Lonchura striata: one gene and its partner. The protein of the gene in region 2 interacts with the protein of the main gene of each other region in a biochemical or structural test. Links are inferred from orthologs where the notes say so. Each region holds a gene or a part of one and is shown on either strand. Other genes may lie near its edges.

What was found. The genes of interacting proteins can lie anywhere in the genome.
Region 1: the proteins of DLG1 (region 2) and GUCY1A2 interact in a test that uses a peptide from one of them, tested with the Homo sapiens proteins (2 studies listed by IntAct, with this or other methods). The link is inferred for Lonchura striata from reciprocal best matches to the Homo sapiens genes DLG1 and GUCY1A2.

The regions. Positions count from the first base shown.
Region 1 is NC_134604.1:44,012,994-44,021,043, forward strand, and holds the start of GUCY1A2 (guanylate cyclase soluble subunit alpha-2), read right to left. Parts: upstream 3,060-8,050; 5' UTR 3,027-3,059; coding exon 2,772-3,026; intron 1-2,771. UniProt on the Homo sapiens protein: Has guanylyl cyclase on binding to the beta-1 subunit. Isoform 2 acts as a negative regulator of guanylyl cyclase activity as it forms non-functional heterodimers with the beta subunits.
Region 2 is NC_134612.1:15,040,702-15,047,910, reverse strand, and holds the start of DLG1 (disks large homolog 1), read left to right. Parts: upstream 1-4,170; 5' UTR 4,171-4,236; coding exon 4,237-4,255; intron 4,256-4,527; coding exon 4,528-4,659; intron 4,660-7,209. UniProt on the Homo sapiens protein: Essential multidomain scaffolding protein required for normal development. Recruits channels, receptors and signaling molecules to discrete plasma membrane domains in polarized cells.

The sequences.
Region 1 (8,050 bases), on a different chromosome or scaffold from region 2:
ATTTTAGTGTAATATATCTCAAATTTCATTCTACAGAATCTCATACAATTGACAATACAGCTGTACTAATTCATGAATGAATTGCACAGGAGATACATTTCATACACATTTTTGCACTACCTCTCCTAAGATGAAGCCTGTTTGCACAGCCTTCTGGCTGCTCTGCCCTATGCACACCCCTCTTGGGTGTCCAATGCTCTTTTGCCCCTTGGATGCCCCTTCCTGCTCTGTTCAAGGCTCTCCATGTGCCCAGAGCAGCTCTCATTAGCTCCTGCTACCACTTAGAACTCCTTTCATGGTACAATAGTATTAAATACACACACAAAATTTTTCTTCAGTGGAAACACAAAACAATATTTTACTGAGTATTCAGTCCTAGTCATTGCTGAAGGAAAGCACAAAAAACTACAGCTAAGTATAAACATCAGGAACTTGTAGCATCCTTCAACTTTGAAAGTTGGGATGAGGAAAAATAACTGCTGCATTCATGTTTGAAGAGACAATGTTAAACCCTGCAGGCTAGATATCTAGTATATACATCTGTATGCACATAAATATGTTTATATATTTAACAGAGACCCCTATCTATAGTATTATGGAATGAAGATCTATCTACATCTACAAAAAAATATTAGAGCTTCTTCTTTAGAAAGAACATCTGTCAGTGCTCCCTTCAGACTTGCCTTCTAATTTAACAAACAATATAAATGAATCCTATTAAATCAATTTTATAGGCAAAGTGGTTTTTTTTTTTTTTTACTTCTAATTAAAGTTATTCTTGATTTATATCAGTAGATGTGAAAAAATAATCAGATCCAAAGTGTTAGACATATGGTAACTTGACTTGTTGCATGAAGGCATATATTCAGTATCACAGAGCTCAGTAAGAAAAGCACAAAATAACAAAGCATCTTAACAGTGGTTTCTCTGAGTGAAAAATGGCAGGAGACCTGGTTCTTTTCTTAAACCAAGACTAGAACAATAAGACTTATTTGACTTACTGACATTAATTTATGCCAAAATGCGTAAGATGGGAATGAAGCTGTAGTTACAAAGCAAAGAAAAAAAGGGAAATTTTAAGTAATGTGTATCATATTATAATTTTTAAATAACCTATTTTTTTTTTAGCAACAAGGATAGCTATAATTACCTCCCAGGGAAATCATGAAAGCTGTTGTTTGGGACATTAAAACCAAGTTAGACAAAATTTTTGCATTCTTAAATAAAATTTCTCTGTGAGCAGGGGAGAAAGAGGACTTGATCTATCAGAATTTTATTCATGTCTTAATTCAAGGAATATGTTTATTTTGAAAACAAATTCATCAATTTATATGTAAAACTGTAATTGTCTCTTATAGCAGCACAATACAGGAGGTAACAGGCAAAGCTTAGAAAACACAAATACTAAGGTTATTTCAAAATACTGTGCTGAACTACTTCTGAATACTTCATATAGTTGGGGTAACAAATGCTCTAATTATATCATTGCATTACTATCAAATTAAATAGCTTCTCTTTTTTTTAATATACTAAAACAAGACAGGTCACCTGAAATATCATCTATTAATAACAGCATTACAAGACCAGATTCCCAGTGGAGAGGAAAAAAATCAATGTGAAAGAAAAGTCTTAACTGCTACTGGATGACTATTAGCTATTTAATGCACTAAAACTTCTCGCATTAAACACCCTGTCTACTCCTGTCCAGTGTTTAAACTCCAAACAGAAAAGAGTCTATTAAAACAAATGCAAACTGAGAGCTGATGGTGATGAGACTCATAAGGAATTTCCAGAACTGCCTAATAATATGAAAAAGATTATATGATGCCACAATAACAGATACAGTTGCCCTGCACATTAAGACTACTTGTTGCCATTAATGTTTTATGTTTTTAAACATTAAACTATCTCAGACCCCAAACAAACATTCAGTTGCAGCTGAAACTTTAGGAGAAAATTTTAGCAGTGATCATAGACATATGTACAGGAGCATAGCACAAGCAAAACAAAAAGGCAGGAGAAAAACCTTCTTTTTCACACTAATCTACAAGAGCTCCTGAATCACTGGTTTCAGTCTTACAAAATTATACCAGCATATGTTACAGGCTCTACCTAACTTCGCTCCTGCTGTTAACAGCATACAGACAATGGGTCCCTGACTCAACTACAGATGCAGCTATCCAAGCAATCATTAAGTAGTGGATTTCAAAGTCTGCTTTGAAGAAACTGATCTGTCAGTAATGTCTGCACATCCACGAGGCACAGGGAAATCTGTTGCTGAAATATTTCCGAGCGCATAGCCAGAACTTTGTTCTGTTTTACCCTATTCAGCACAGAGAAGCCCTACAAATGTAAAAGTTCACATCCCCTCATTGTTCAGGAACGATGTGCACACCATGCATCACACAGATGTAACTTTTTATATTAAAAAATAAAAATGTTGCTACTACCAGTGATAAGCACTTTATTGCTTCGTTTTCATTCAGAAAGGGACTCGGCAGAAATTATAAACCCAGCCAAAGCGGCAGCTGCGCCTAAGCGTGACTCCCGACCCGATTTCCAGCAGCGGGCTGCCGGGAGCTGCACTCCCGCAGTCTGCGGGGCTGGCAGCCGGCAGCCGGAGCGGGCGCGGAGAGGCAGCGGGCTCCAGCGACCCGGCGGGTCCACCAGGGAGCGGAGAGCGGGCACGGCCGCTTTTTTCCCGGCAGGGACGGAGCCCGCGGGGCAGCCGGGGCTGCTGTGCCGGGGCGGGGGCCGGCGCGGGCACTCACCGCGGGGGCCGTCAGGCGGCGGATGCTCTCGCCCAGCGAGTCCAGGTTGACCCGCCGGCGGCGCGGAGCGCGGCGCGCCCCGGCGCTGGCCGCGGCGGCGGCGGCGAAGGGGATGTCAGCGGGGCCGGGGGGGCTGCGGCTGCCGTTCCAGCACAGGCGGGACAGGGGACACTCGCCCTCCTCCTCGGGGCTCGTCTCGGGGCAGTCCGAGCCCAGCGAGCTGAAGGACTCTGACGAGATCTTGCGGCGGGACATGGTGCCGCGGGCCGGGCTGGGGCGGCGGCGAGCTCAGCGCGGGGCGGCGGGCAGCCGCGGCGGGCAGCGCCGAGCTGGGCGGGCGCGGGGGCGGCCGCCTCGCATGGCCGCGAGTGCCCCTGGGCGGGCGGGAGGCAGCACCGGAGCCGCCGCGCCGGGGCCGGCGCAGAGCGCGGCGCTGCCCGCTCCGCGGCTCTCCGCGCCGGGCCGGGAGCGCGGTGCCGCGCCGCGCTCGCCGGGAGCCTTTAAAGCGGCGGCGGCGGCAACCGCGGCGGCTGCTGCCCTCCTCTGCCTCGGCCGCCCGCCCCGCTCTCCCCTCCCCCGGCTCCCTCGCTGCTCCGCGGGGATCACGTGTTGTTCCGAGCCCTTTCCCCCTCCTCCTCCTCCCGCCTCCCCCGCCCCGCTCGCCGCCTGTCGCGCCCGGCCCCGCCGGCCCCGGCCCCGCCGGCCCCGCTGCCCCGCGCCGCGGCGATGCCCCCAGCCCGGCGGGGCGGGCCGAGGGCAGGGCCGGCGCGCAGCCCGCGCTCCCGCCCGCCGAGCTCTGCGCTTTGGCACTCTGGAGCCGCGCTGAGGGAAGCGGGGAGGTGGCCCGGCACCCGCGCACGGCTCCGCGGGGAGCGGCGGTGCCAGCGCCGGGAATGGGGACGATCCCGGGGCCCTCCCGTGGCAGCCGCCCCGGCCCCGCCGCCGCCGCCTCCAGTGCCGCCGCGATGCTGGACAGCTCCCTGGCAGCTCCAGCGGCCGGGGAAGCCGGTACCCGCCCGCTGCCAGCCTCCCCGCCAGCCAACTTTTAAAATGACATTAGGGAACCTGAAGCTTAAGAAATAAATCTTTTTAAAAACTGAGGAGAGAGGATGCAGGTCATCTGCTTTCAGAATCAGAAGCTGTCTTTCTGCAAGCACTGCTCCCGTTAACACTGTGGGTCATGTCCAAAACAGCAAAGAAACTAAATTCCTTTCCACGCTACAGCCCTGGCAAGGGGAGAAAGGACTGGTCTAGAGGACCCAAAGCAGAGGAGCTTCGATCCCAGATGACACACAAGGTGTCTCCTTCCCAACGTTCCCTACCCATGCTGTCAGTTTAAAGACACCTTTCAAAATTCATTCCAATAGTGATAATCCCATAAAGTTCTCCTCAGCAAAAATGTTCCAAAGAAATGTGATCTGAGCTGAAATGGTTCGTCCTACCATCAATGAAGACAGCTTGTCATTACTTTCCCTTTGTTCAAACAAGACTTACTTTAAAAGGCAATGATTTTTAAATAGTTTTTACTCTACCTTTTCACTGTATTATGACATGTTTTACAACCGTATCCTTTTAAATGTCTGAATGCAGCCTAAACAAGGACTCACTGAAAAAACTAGGGACATATCCACAGGTATGAAGGAGCTTTTGAGCATGACCTCAGGCAGCAAAAGCCAGTGTCTGCTCACAGATGGGGCACAGGTCTAGGGCCGAGCATGCTGCTTTTAACTGGGGCATAACAACCTTTGCCAGGACATTGCTTTCAGTGTATCATCCTTGTTTCCCTTGACTCGCATAGTGTCTTTTTTTTTGCTTTTTTTTTTATAGAAATAGATATGAAGTCGAATGATTGAAGCCTGTGGCTTGAAAGGATGTGTAGTAAAGCCAGAGTGTACCATACTACCTTCTGTTGCCATGGGAAGTATTACACTTGGGATGCACAGACTTTCCTTTTGCAGTCCTGGTGATTCCCTTGGCAGACCTAGGACATGAATCAGGCATGCAAGTAATTCACACATGAACCTTCAGATCTGTTGTACTTATCTGCGTTTCCTCCTCAAGTGATTAACAATATTCATCAGTATCTGATGAGTGTAGGGAGGCGAAACAGTCACTGCCTTTTTTGTTCCTCCTTCTGAACAAATCCCCATTTTCACAGGTTCTTTGAGACCTGCTGCACAAGCCCTTGCTGGCCTGCAGGCCAAGCTCCCACTATTGAAGGGACTCAGGAACTAAGGGGTCTGGAAAGTGCCCTTTGGTGCTAAACATCATCCCTAGCACAGGGTACTCTGTGTAACATTGTTCATGTGCTCCAGTTTCCACTAAATTTACTTCCTTCTCGTAGATCATTTCATACAGTCCTCAGTGAAGTAAACTACCACTGGCTTCCTGGTTGATGAAGTGACAGTGACAACTGGGTAAGAGCCACATAGTTTAGCACAGAAAATGCAAATACATATTTATAAGTTCTAAACTGCAAAAATACCAAAGTGTCAACTGGTTCCATGTGCAGCACTTCAGCTGTAGGGCAAGCAACTTGCTTGGAGGCATTTTGCATTTTATTCAGCACTAGGGAAGAGGTTTACAACATGACAAAAATGACACCTTTTCAGTCTTCAGTTTCCTCTTTTTCTTGAAGTTTAAAGTAGCACTTCCCAATGCAACTTAGTGGTAGCATTTGACAGTGCTTCTGAGTGTTTTTATTACATAATATAGTTATCCTGAAATGGAAAGGAAGATTCTCTACCTCAGTGACTATTCCTGAGGTGAGGACATCATAACTAAATGTACTTGTGTACCAAAGCAACTCTTTTCAAGAATGTGAAAGACATTTTCCTCCAACATCAAGATAGTGAAGTTCATAACTCAGGGGAAAATGCCATTAGGTTCTTCAAGTATTATTTTATTCAGATGAAGCAGAGCTTTGAGTAAACCCAGATAGTGTTGGCTAGTCTGATTAGATACAACCTTTAAAGCTTGTGAAAGTAAACCTCATACCTGCCCAATCCAGTTACTAAGGATATCAGTAGTATGCGTACTGCAACTCTGGGATTCATTATATGAAGTACAGAGAACTGAATAGAGAAACCAGCTGGAAAACTACCAAACATCATCATAAGTTGTCTTGAACTAAATAGAAATGGACAGCAGAAGATTCAAGATGATGCAGATTCTGGAGGTGAGTCTGGTGAGCAAACAAGTCATTCAGTCCCCAGTTAATTATTCTCATTTAATTTCTCTTGATCCAGACACAGCCTTGGCAAAAGCTAAATACCACAGGGATTGCTTCATCTGGCTGTCAAATGCCTTTGAGAACCCATAGACATAGACATTTACAGCATATAAGAACAAATATTCTTCTTTTATACATGTCTAATCAGCACCAACTTGTAGTTGGCAAATTATTGAGTAAATAGCAGAATGTCTGTAAAATTAATAAGGTTCACTAAAAGAAAGCCAATGCAATTTTTCATTCATACTACAACAATGTGCAATGTATGTGTCCCACATTACAGACACGTCAGAAAAAATATGGAGTACTTTTAATTCTTTTACAATTTCAAATGCATAATTACTCTTCTCATTAGACCACTGGCTGAACGTGCCCCAGGGTGTGCCCAGGTGTCCAAGGAGGCCGATGGCACCCTGGCCTGATCAGCACTGCTGTGCCAGCAGGAGCAGGGCAGTGACCGTCCCCCTGCACTCAGCACTGCTGAGGCCACACCTCCAACCCTGGGCTCAGTTCTGGGCCCCTCACTGCAAGAAAGACATTGAGGGGCTGGAGCGTGTCCAGAGAGGGGCAGCGGGGTGGGGTCAGCCTCTTCTTCCAGGTAACAAGTGACAGGACAAGGGGACATAGCCTAACATTGTGCCAGGACAGATGCAGGCTGGACATCAGGAAGACCTTTTTTTTTTTTTTTTTTTTTTATTCCACAGAAAGGGTGATTAAGCATTGGATTGGACTGCCCAGAGAGGTTGTGGATTAGCACTGTGGTTTAGTTGACAAGGTTATGATCAGTCAAAGGTTGTACTTGATGACCTTGGAGGTCCCCTGCAACCTAAACGATTCTGTGTCTATGATTCTAAGGAAAAGATTATGAAAATCACAAATGTTTTATCATTTTTTATCTATTTTCATATTTTTGTCTTAGTGCTAATGAGCAAACATTACAAAACTGAGTTCAGTCCTGACAGAAAATACATAGTCTTTAATTTCCATTATTTAGAGTGTGTTAGTTTATTGGTAATTATTCATGATTTTTATTTATTTGCTACTAACTATGCACTTCTCATCAGACATATGTTGGAGTTTTCATATTATTTTTGTTCACAAATGCTGTTTTTCTACAGCCTTGGAAGATTAAAATAACAAAAACAACATCATCAGAGTGCATTGCATTGCCCTGTCTGCCTTTGTTGAGAAAATGTTGGTTGCAAAGCTGCTAAAAGTATTTTAACTAATCCCTCTTAGACATTAGCTGCACATATCACATATATATCTCACATATATAATATATATAGTTCATATAATTTCACCTACTACATTATATGGCTTTTTATAATAATCTTTTTTATAGTACTGCTGAACCTGTAAGTACTTAATTTTCCTTTAATAGAAAAGATTGTTGTCACAGGATCAATGTGTCCCCACAGAGAAAGTAAACACCTGTTTTGCAAAGCATTTCTAAAGCAGCAGGAGACTGTTATCCTGTAACAACATTGTGTTACAATTACTTTATTGCAGTCAGGCAAAATGAATGATGTGCAGCAAATTTATTCTTCTTTCACATTCTGCCAAACCTTCCTGTTCTTTATCCAATGACTTCCATCTGGAGTAGTGCCTGGAAGGATGGCTGGGGCGTTCTGCCATTCGTCATTAATGATCTGTTGAATTACAGCTGGCTTGAAGAACAAATCAATTCTATATTTCAACTATTCAGAAATATAGTTTATGTGCAAAGTGCAGCAAATTCACATTGGTCTAACTTGTTGTTCTAGTCATCAGGTTATGTTTGAGTCCAGCATGTTACCGAAGCAGTAATGAATCTGTTTTTCACTGCGAGATGAGATGATGATGTAATGAAAGCAGAAGAATCTGTCTTAATGCTCATAAAATATATTTAATCTTAGATCTTCATCACACTATTAGGACTTCTTTTTTGTCGATGAGAAAAGCAAACAAAGCACTGGTGACATACCACAAGACTCACACCACCTAGCAGACCACCTAGCAGAATAAGGAATACCTTGTTGCCTAATCCAACTTCAAGACAACTTTA
Region 2 (7,209 bases):
GTCAGAGATCTTTTCATGAGCATCAACTCCCAGTTCTGAATGAATAAGACAAATCATCTACTTTGTATGGTGACTTTGGACACTTAATCTGACAATCAAGAGAGCACCAATTTTATTGTTCTTGTGTTTTCTTTCATTAGTAAGCCCCACATAAAAATGTCTTGAGCTTTACTCTTTATTCTTCAACAGTCAGCATTTCTTTTTACTAAAATTAATACTATAATTATAGTATTCTAGAAATATTCCACCTTATACAACAGTGTCCATCTTTAATTATGAACTGATGTACCTGTATTTATTTAATCTATTCTACCTTATGTTGTAATGGAATTTGTCTCAGCTTGTAACTACTGTATTTTTTTGGCCATACTAATTACTGTAAATTCTTGCCATGTGATGATGTCTGCTGTCATTTTTTTCTTGGTGTTCTTGTGTTGATTGACATTGTGTGTGAATCTAGGGAATGGTTTTTGAAGTCTCCTGTTCTGAGTTCATTATACCTCTCCAGTTACTGTGTGGGACATCATCTGCAACACATCCACTGCCACTGCCAGTTTGAGAAGTCCACGTTGTCAGCTGGCTCCAGTGGGACTTAGGGGTTCACCAGGTAGCTGGCATGAAGTCAATCCCCCCATGTCCTGCTGCCCAGCCTGTGGCCAAATTGTGATTGCCTCAAAACATAAGAAGCCTGTCAGCATTCTTGCTCCTTGTAGTGTGGTGCCAGCTGACCAGGTGAAGTTTCTAAAGCAGAAAGAGCCATTTTTAAAGTGGCAGCTGGACTGCTTTGAGGAGTAGGAGCTGGTGTAGGATCAGGTACAAATCTGTGGCAGGGCTCACTACTATGATCACTTGCCAGAGCAGGCAGCTGCCAACAAGTTCTGGCATAGTTTCTCAAAGTGGGAAAACATCATCTCTGTTTCACTATAGTTTATGAAACTGGGATTATTAGGCTCTGACACAGGGCTGCTTTTCCCCCCCATGTACAAATGACATGGGCTAGGATCAGGTGGCTGTTATAGAAGGTTTTCCAGGGGAAAAGCTTGTGCTGTGCCGGCGTCCCTGTTGCCAAAAGCTGCCTGGTTCTGTATTACACATCCCTCCTAAGCAGTATGTGTGCTGCAACAAGCTGCCTGTCCCTACCAGAGACCATCCCAGCAGAACATCCCAGGCACACTCCTGGCAGCAGCTGCAAAAGGGATTTTAAAGGAAATCTGAGGGCAGTGGGAAAAGGCCACTGGTCACATCCTCAGATGCATCTGAGGACTAAAGTGGCAATGGGCTGCTGCTTTGTGTAATTGTCCTGGAGTTCCTATGCCAAGGGTCATTTTGGAGCACAGCCAGGGCGTGTTAAGCATAATGCTGACTTCTATACTGACCACATCAGTCACAGTTTAGAGTACAAGCTTTTCTGTATGCTGCCTGTAGTGGTTTGATTTAAATGATATTGTTAAAGTCGTGGCACAAATGATGCTCTGGTTCACACTCAGTTTTCCCCTCCTCCAAGGAAACTACACAATTTCCTGGAAGCTGGAGCCTGTAGAAGATGATATGTAACACAGGACAATTTTGCAACACTGTCTCTAGTTGTAATGTTGCTAGCAAAAAGTAATTTTCCATTCATGGGATATTTTCTATATGTGCTGGAATTTCAAACCCACTTTTCATACTGAAGTTTAATACTGTGTTTCTGGTTCAACTGCTTTCAATCAGCAAATACACTCCTAGAACAGAAACAGAAGTGCCGGGAAGCAACATCATTCTCTGAGGTACAATAAAGCTCACCTAATTGCTTCCTGACTTGCTGATCCATCATCCTGACCCCCTCTTTGATGTTTTCTTTCTTTCTTTTTTTTTTTTTTTTTTTGTTCCCCTAGAGCATTAGTAACAAGTGAGAAATGCTGTCTCAGGGTGTTATATATGGGATTATTTCGCTATCCCCAGCACAGTGACCGTATGTAATGGGATTATCTCTTATTTAAAATAAAAAAAGACTTGGAAACATCAAATACTGTATATAAAAAAATAGTTTCTTTATAGTGGTTCCTTTAATAGTAAAAAAAGTTTATTTTTGTAATAATACATTTTTGTCAGTCAGCAAAACCAATCAAAATGCTGCAGATGTCTCCTTTCTGCTAGCTAAATTTAGATTGTTCTTCCTCTCCTTCTGTATATACATTCCTCTGACATCAAGAGGGCTATTGCCCCTTTACAGCACATTTATTGCTGTTGTAAACACTGAAAACTGATGAGGCCAGATGATGGAGGCTTCTGCCAATGTCTCTTCTTAGCCTGCTTTCATTTCAAAATATCTGAACTGGTACCAGCTGGTGCCAAAATTCTGTGATATGAAAATACAACAAGAAAGGAAGAAAATGGGCAATTGTGTGTCAGCACTAAATGTATCTTCTGCTTGCTTCAATGAGATGTGTGAACACTTTCACAGTACATAGCTATGGGAGCAGGAGAAACTCCTGACACAAATCAAAGAACAAAACATAGGACTATTGGGGAGGGAAAAGAGAGAGGCCTTTTCTAGATCTAGGTTAGATCTGTCATGGTGTAATATTCCTTAAGATTAGGTGCTTGCCAAAGTGAAGTCTGGATCTGATTTTTAGACTTCAAATTTATGAGAGTTGCCCAGGAGGCTCTTTTTAGGTTCTTTGGGTAAGTTCTTGAACATTTTCAGTTGTGCTTAAATCTAACAAGTGTAAATGGAAATGTGAGCTTGGATGAAAAACCAAAAAAACCCCCAACCAAACAACCTCCCCCCCCCCCACCCCCCCATCTGCAGTATTTGCCTTGAACTTTCAAGTCTCTTTCTGCCTCTCATACATGTATACCTACAGGGTTTGAAGTGTATCAGATCAGGGGCTCTGGTTGACTGTCCATCTCATTGAGAGATAAGTTAACATTCCCTCTTAGAGCAAGGGATGCTCCTACATCCACCAGCTTTAATATACATTTCCTTTTAGTGGGTATATAGAATATGCTGCAAAGACCATTTAGCTCATATGTCCAAGGCACCTATTTCTATGCTGTTACCTCTTTGCCATCTTAAAAGAAAACAAGATGTTTTGCCTTTGAAAATAACTTATTACCATTTCCATGCCAGTTTTGAGAAAGTGACTATCATTATTCTGACCAGTCCCTGATGTCAGCCTATACAGCCCATTTCTTAAACTTTTTATGTTTTCTCCTGTGATGTCCTTATGCTGACCTTATGTCCAAAGCTATTTATTTTTCTTCGAGTCCTTCCTCCTCATCCTGCTCTTCCAGGACGACTGAGGGAAAAGCCCCAGCACCAGGTGGGTGGCAGTGCTCTGTGTGGTACTGACTGCGGAGGCCGGTGAGGCCAGCGAGGTCCCTCAGCCCTCCTGCCTGTCCCAGGCCCTGCGAAAGGCGGCCCCGGGCTCCCCGCGGCCGGGCACGGCTCCACCTGCGCTTCCTCGCGGCAGGAGCCGCTCCGTGCCCGGCACTCCCACGGCACCATGGCGGTGCTTCGGTGCGAGTGGCCCGGAAACTCCCGCACTCCCGGGACAGGCGATCCCGCAGGTACCCGGCGCACACCTGGAGCGCTCCCGCCCTCCCGCAGCCCACGCCGGGCGCCACCGCCGGGGACGGCGGCGGCGATGTGGTGCAGGGGCGCTCGGGGCGGGTTCCGCCGGGGCCGGTTCTCACGGCGCTGCCGCCGCCGTGCCGGTGCCGGTGCCGGTGGCGGTGGCGGGCGCGGCGGGGCGGGGCGGGGCGGGGCGGCCCCTTTAAGGCGGGGAGCGCTCACCTGCCTCCTCCCCCCCCGCCGCCAAGGTGCCGGCCCCGCGCCGGGCCCTGATTGGGCGCCCGCCGGGCCCGGTCACGTGGGGGGGGTGCGCTCCCCCAGCCTCCAGGCCGCCATTTTGGTTGGAAAGTTTGGAATTTCCGAGCGGTGCGGGCGGGAGGTGGCGGGAGCGTCCCGGCCCCGTCCGCCCCGGCCCCGGCCCGCCGCGCCGCCTGCCCCGCGCTGTCCCGCCCGGCCCGGCCCGGCCCGGCTCGCCCCGCATCGCGCCGCGGCGGCGCCGGCGGGAGCCCCGCGCGGAGCCGCTCGCTCGCCGGGCGGCGGGGCCGGTCCGGCGGGGCGGCCGCCGCCACCCCCCGCGCCCGGCCGGCAGGGGGCGCCGCCCCCCGCGCCGCCCCGGGCCGCGCTCCGAGTGCGCGCGGCGGAGCCCCGGGGCAGCCCCGGGCGGGACAGCGCGGGGCGCGATGCCCGTCCGCAAGCAAGGTGAGCTCCGCGCCCGGGCCGCGGCCGCCGGGGCCGCCGGAGCCGCCGGCTGGCGGCCGCTGCCGCGGCGGGACGGGCGGGGGGCGGCTGGCGGGAGCCGCGGGGCTGCGGGCGTTGCGAGCGCGCCGGGGGCACCGTCCCGCCCGCGCTCTCCCGGCTGCGAACAAAGGAGCTCCGCGCCGGCCGGGGCGGTCCCGGCCGCCGGGGCTTGTTGCATCCCCGGGGCTCCTGCCCGGTGCGCCCCGGACAGTGTGCCTGCTCTCCGCTTGCAGATACCCAGCGAGCCCTGCGCCTCCTGGAGGAATACCGCTCCAAGCTGAGCCAGGCGGAGGATCGGCAGCTGCGGAACTCCATCGAGCGTGTCATCAGCATCTTCCAAAGTAACCTTTTCCAGGCTTTGATAGGTAAACGTTGGCTTCTTTCAGTTCGTGCGCAAGCCGGTCGGTTCTTGCTGATGTTGTCGCTTGTGTTGTTAAGAGCAAAAGGTGTTTTACCCGTAAGTTAAAAGCCATGTGCTTGTCGTTGTGTTTTTGTTTTGCATAGTAACACACGTGTTGTTACAGATCAACAGTTCACTTGTTACACGTACTTTCTTTATTTGAGGTTTTTAACTGGTCTAAACTGCTTAAAACTCTGGAATAGTTCTTAATTCTGTGACATGTTGTCCTAGATTTCTTGAGATTGTTTCTCCATGCATCTTTGTTCACCTGATAAATTTCTAAGGAGGGTGTGTTTTTTTTTCTGTCTGTATGTAACAGGTTAGTGAATGAATTGAAATGTTTTTAGTCTAAGGAAGCCGCAATTCCGGTTGAAGATTCTCTAAAAACAACACAAAGTGTATAACTGAAGTGCAAATTTAACCTAAAGTAAATGAGAGGAAACCTCTAATGCTTCAGGGAGTACTAGAGTATTCTCCTTTGTTGCATATAAAAGTATAGAGAAAGCACTTTTAGATCTCAGTTTACAGTCCTTATAGTGCTTGACTTGATATGTTCCCATAAGTTCATAGAAGAAGTCGCATGTAATTTTGAATTTCCTGCCGGTCTGGTTGAAAAAAAAAAACCCTGAACATAAATAGAACTTGCAGAATCCTGTCTTTATTTGGAAACTTCTGCAGAGAAACAGTGAGAAGTGGTTTCTTCTTGATTGATTGTCACTATCTTTATGACAGTCAATGTTAGCTTACCCTCAAGAATAAAAGTTGTTCTGTATCCTTGTCTTTTAATAGTAACCACTGTCTGAATCGGTGGGACTAATGGCAAACATTGTAGCTATATTTGTTACTTGACTTACTACATGGCTACTGTGCTAGGGTGCACATCTTCCTTCACAGGCCTGCAGCTTCTTCCAACCTGTGTTCTGGTGAAAGCACAGGGACAGGAAAAGCATAAACATGCGTTGCTGCTGAATGCTTTCTTCTGGAGTGTTTATTTTATCATGTGTAGATTTTCAGAAGAGAGTGGTTGTGATGTTTTTTTTCCTTAACATGTAGCTTCCTGTGGGGTAGTTGTGAAAATAGGTCACTTAAAAGACTTTTCCTTATAGGAACTCTGCATTTCTCTTCACTAGACAGTTGATGCTAATCAACTCCATGATGAAGAGTTAACATAATCCTTGTGGGACCATGTGAACGGATTCACTCTTTGGCAGATCAGAATGTTGAAATCTTGTGTCAAATATTTAATGTACAGCAGCAGCACTTTTTATTTTCACCCAGAAAACTTCAGTGTTGACTGCCATTTTTCTTGTTCTGGGTGTGTGTATGTATGAAGGTTTTTTATTTTAAAACTCTTCAAGGTCCATGCAGTACTCTGTTTTCTCCCCTTCATTGAAAAGATACCAATCTGTTAGACTTAGATATTCAAATTGCAAGATGTATTTTTTTCCCCTCCATATATAAATGTTCATTGTTTATAATTCTACACCTAGTAGTAGTAGTGGACTTGAAAGAGCAGGCAGCCTCATGTCTGCAGGAGCAGAAAGGAGGAATGGGTTGTTGCCTGGGTGGACTGTGTCACTTGTTTTCTGGACTTGTAAGAAGCTGCACATTGCAACCACAGGACCCTAGTTCTTGTTGAGTTCATCTGTGCATGCACAGCAGGTGCTTCTTGGGCATGTTGCATTAACTTTGCATTTCCTGGGTCCCTGTGTGATAGTTTATTAGATTGCATACATATGTTCCCAAACCATCTGGCAGAAGGCTGGTACTTGCCAAGCAATTTATGCTCTCAACTTGGGTCTTTCTCCTTTAACCTGTTACTTTCTGTGCAAATGTCAAGGGAGTTCTTGTCCCTGACAGGCTGCTCCTGGCTGTTGTTTTCCTGGAAGCACCTTCTTTTATGGTGTGATTACTGCATGATGGGGGTAAAAAAGAGTGGGGAGGCTCGCTGGAAAGGCTGTGATCTGGAGGATGGCTTCAGTTACTGGGAAGGCCTTAAGCTGGCTCCTTCTTGTCCTGTTTCCATGAAGATCTGGGAGCAGGCTGGATGAAATGTTCAGTTGTGCTGGGGGTTAGACTTACCTGGAATTCTCTGTTGGTTATTGCTTTATGGCTCAATTTGAAGTGTGCATTTTATAGAAGTTGTGATGTGCTCCCAACTGAAATAGCCAAATGATGTTCTCAATGTGGCTCAACTATACTGAGTTATTTCTCTTGTAGATCCTTCTTCCAGAAAGTGTGCTACTTTTAGTTTCTGTTTTTTTTTTTTTTTTTTTTTTTTTTTTTTTTTTTTAATAGAATAACTCTAAAAAAAAATCCCCACCAAACTTCATCCATTTAGTTTCTCCTTTTTCTGCCAAGTTACTGCACTATATCCAAGACTTGTTGGCCCATAGTAGGTAGGTTTGTGAAGGTTGTAGTCAGGATCTGCTGTCAACTTCATGCATCTTTTTTAGTATAATTTTTGACTTGGCAATCAAATACTGTTCTTTCAAGCAATAAATAGCATTATGCA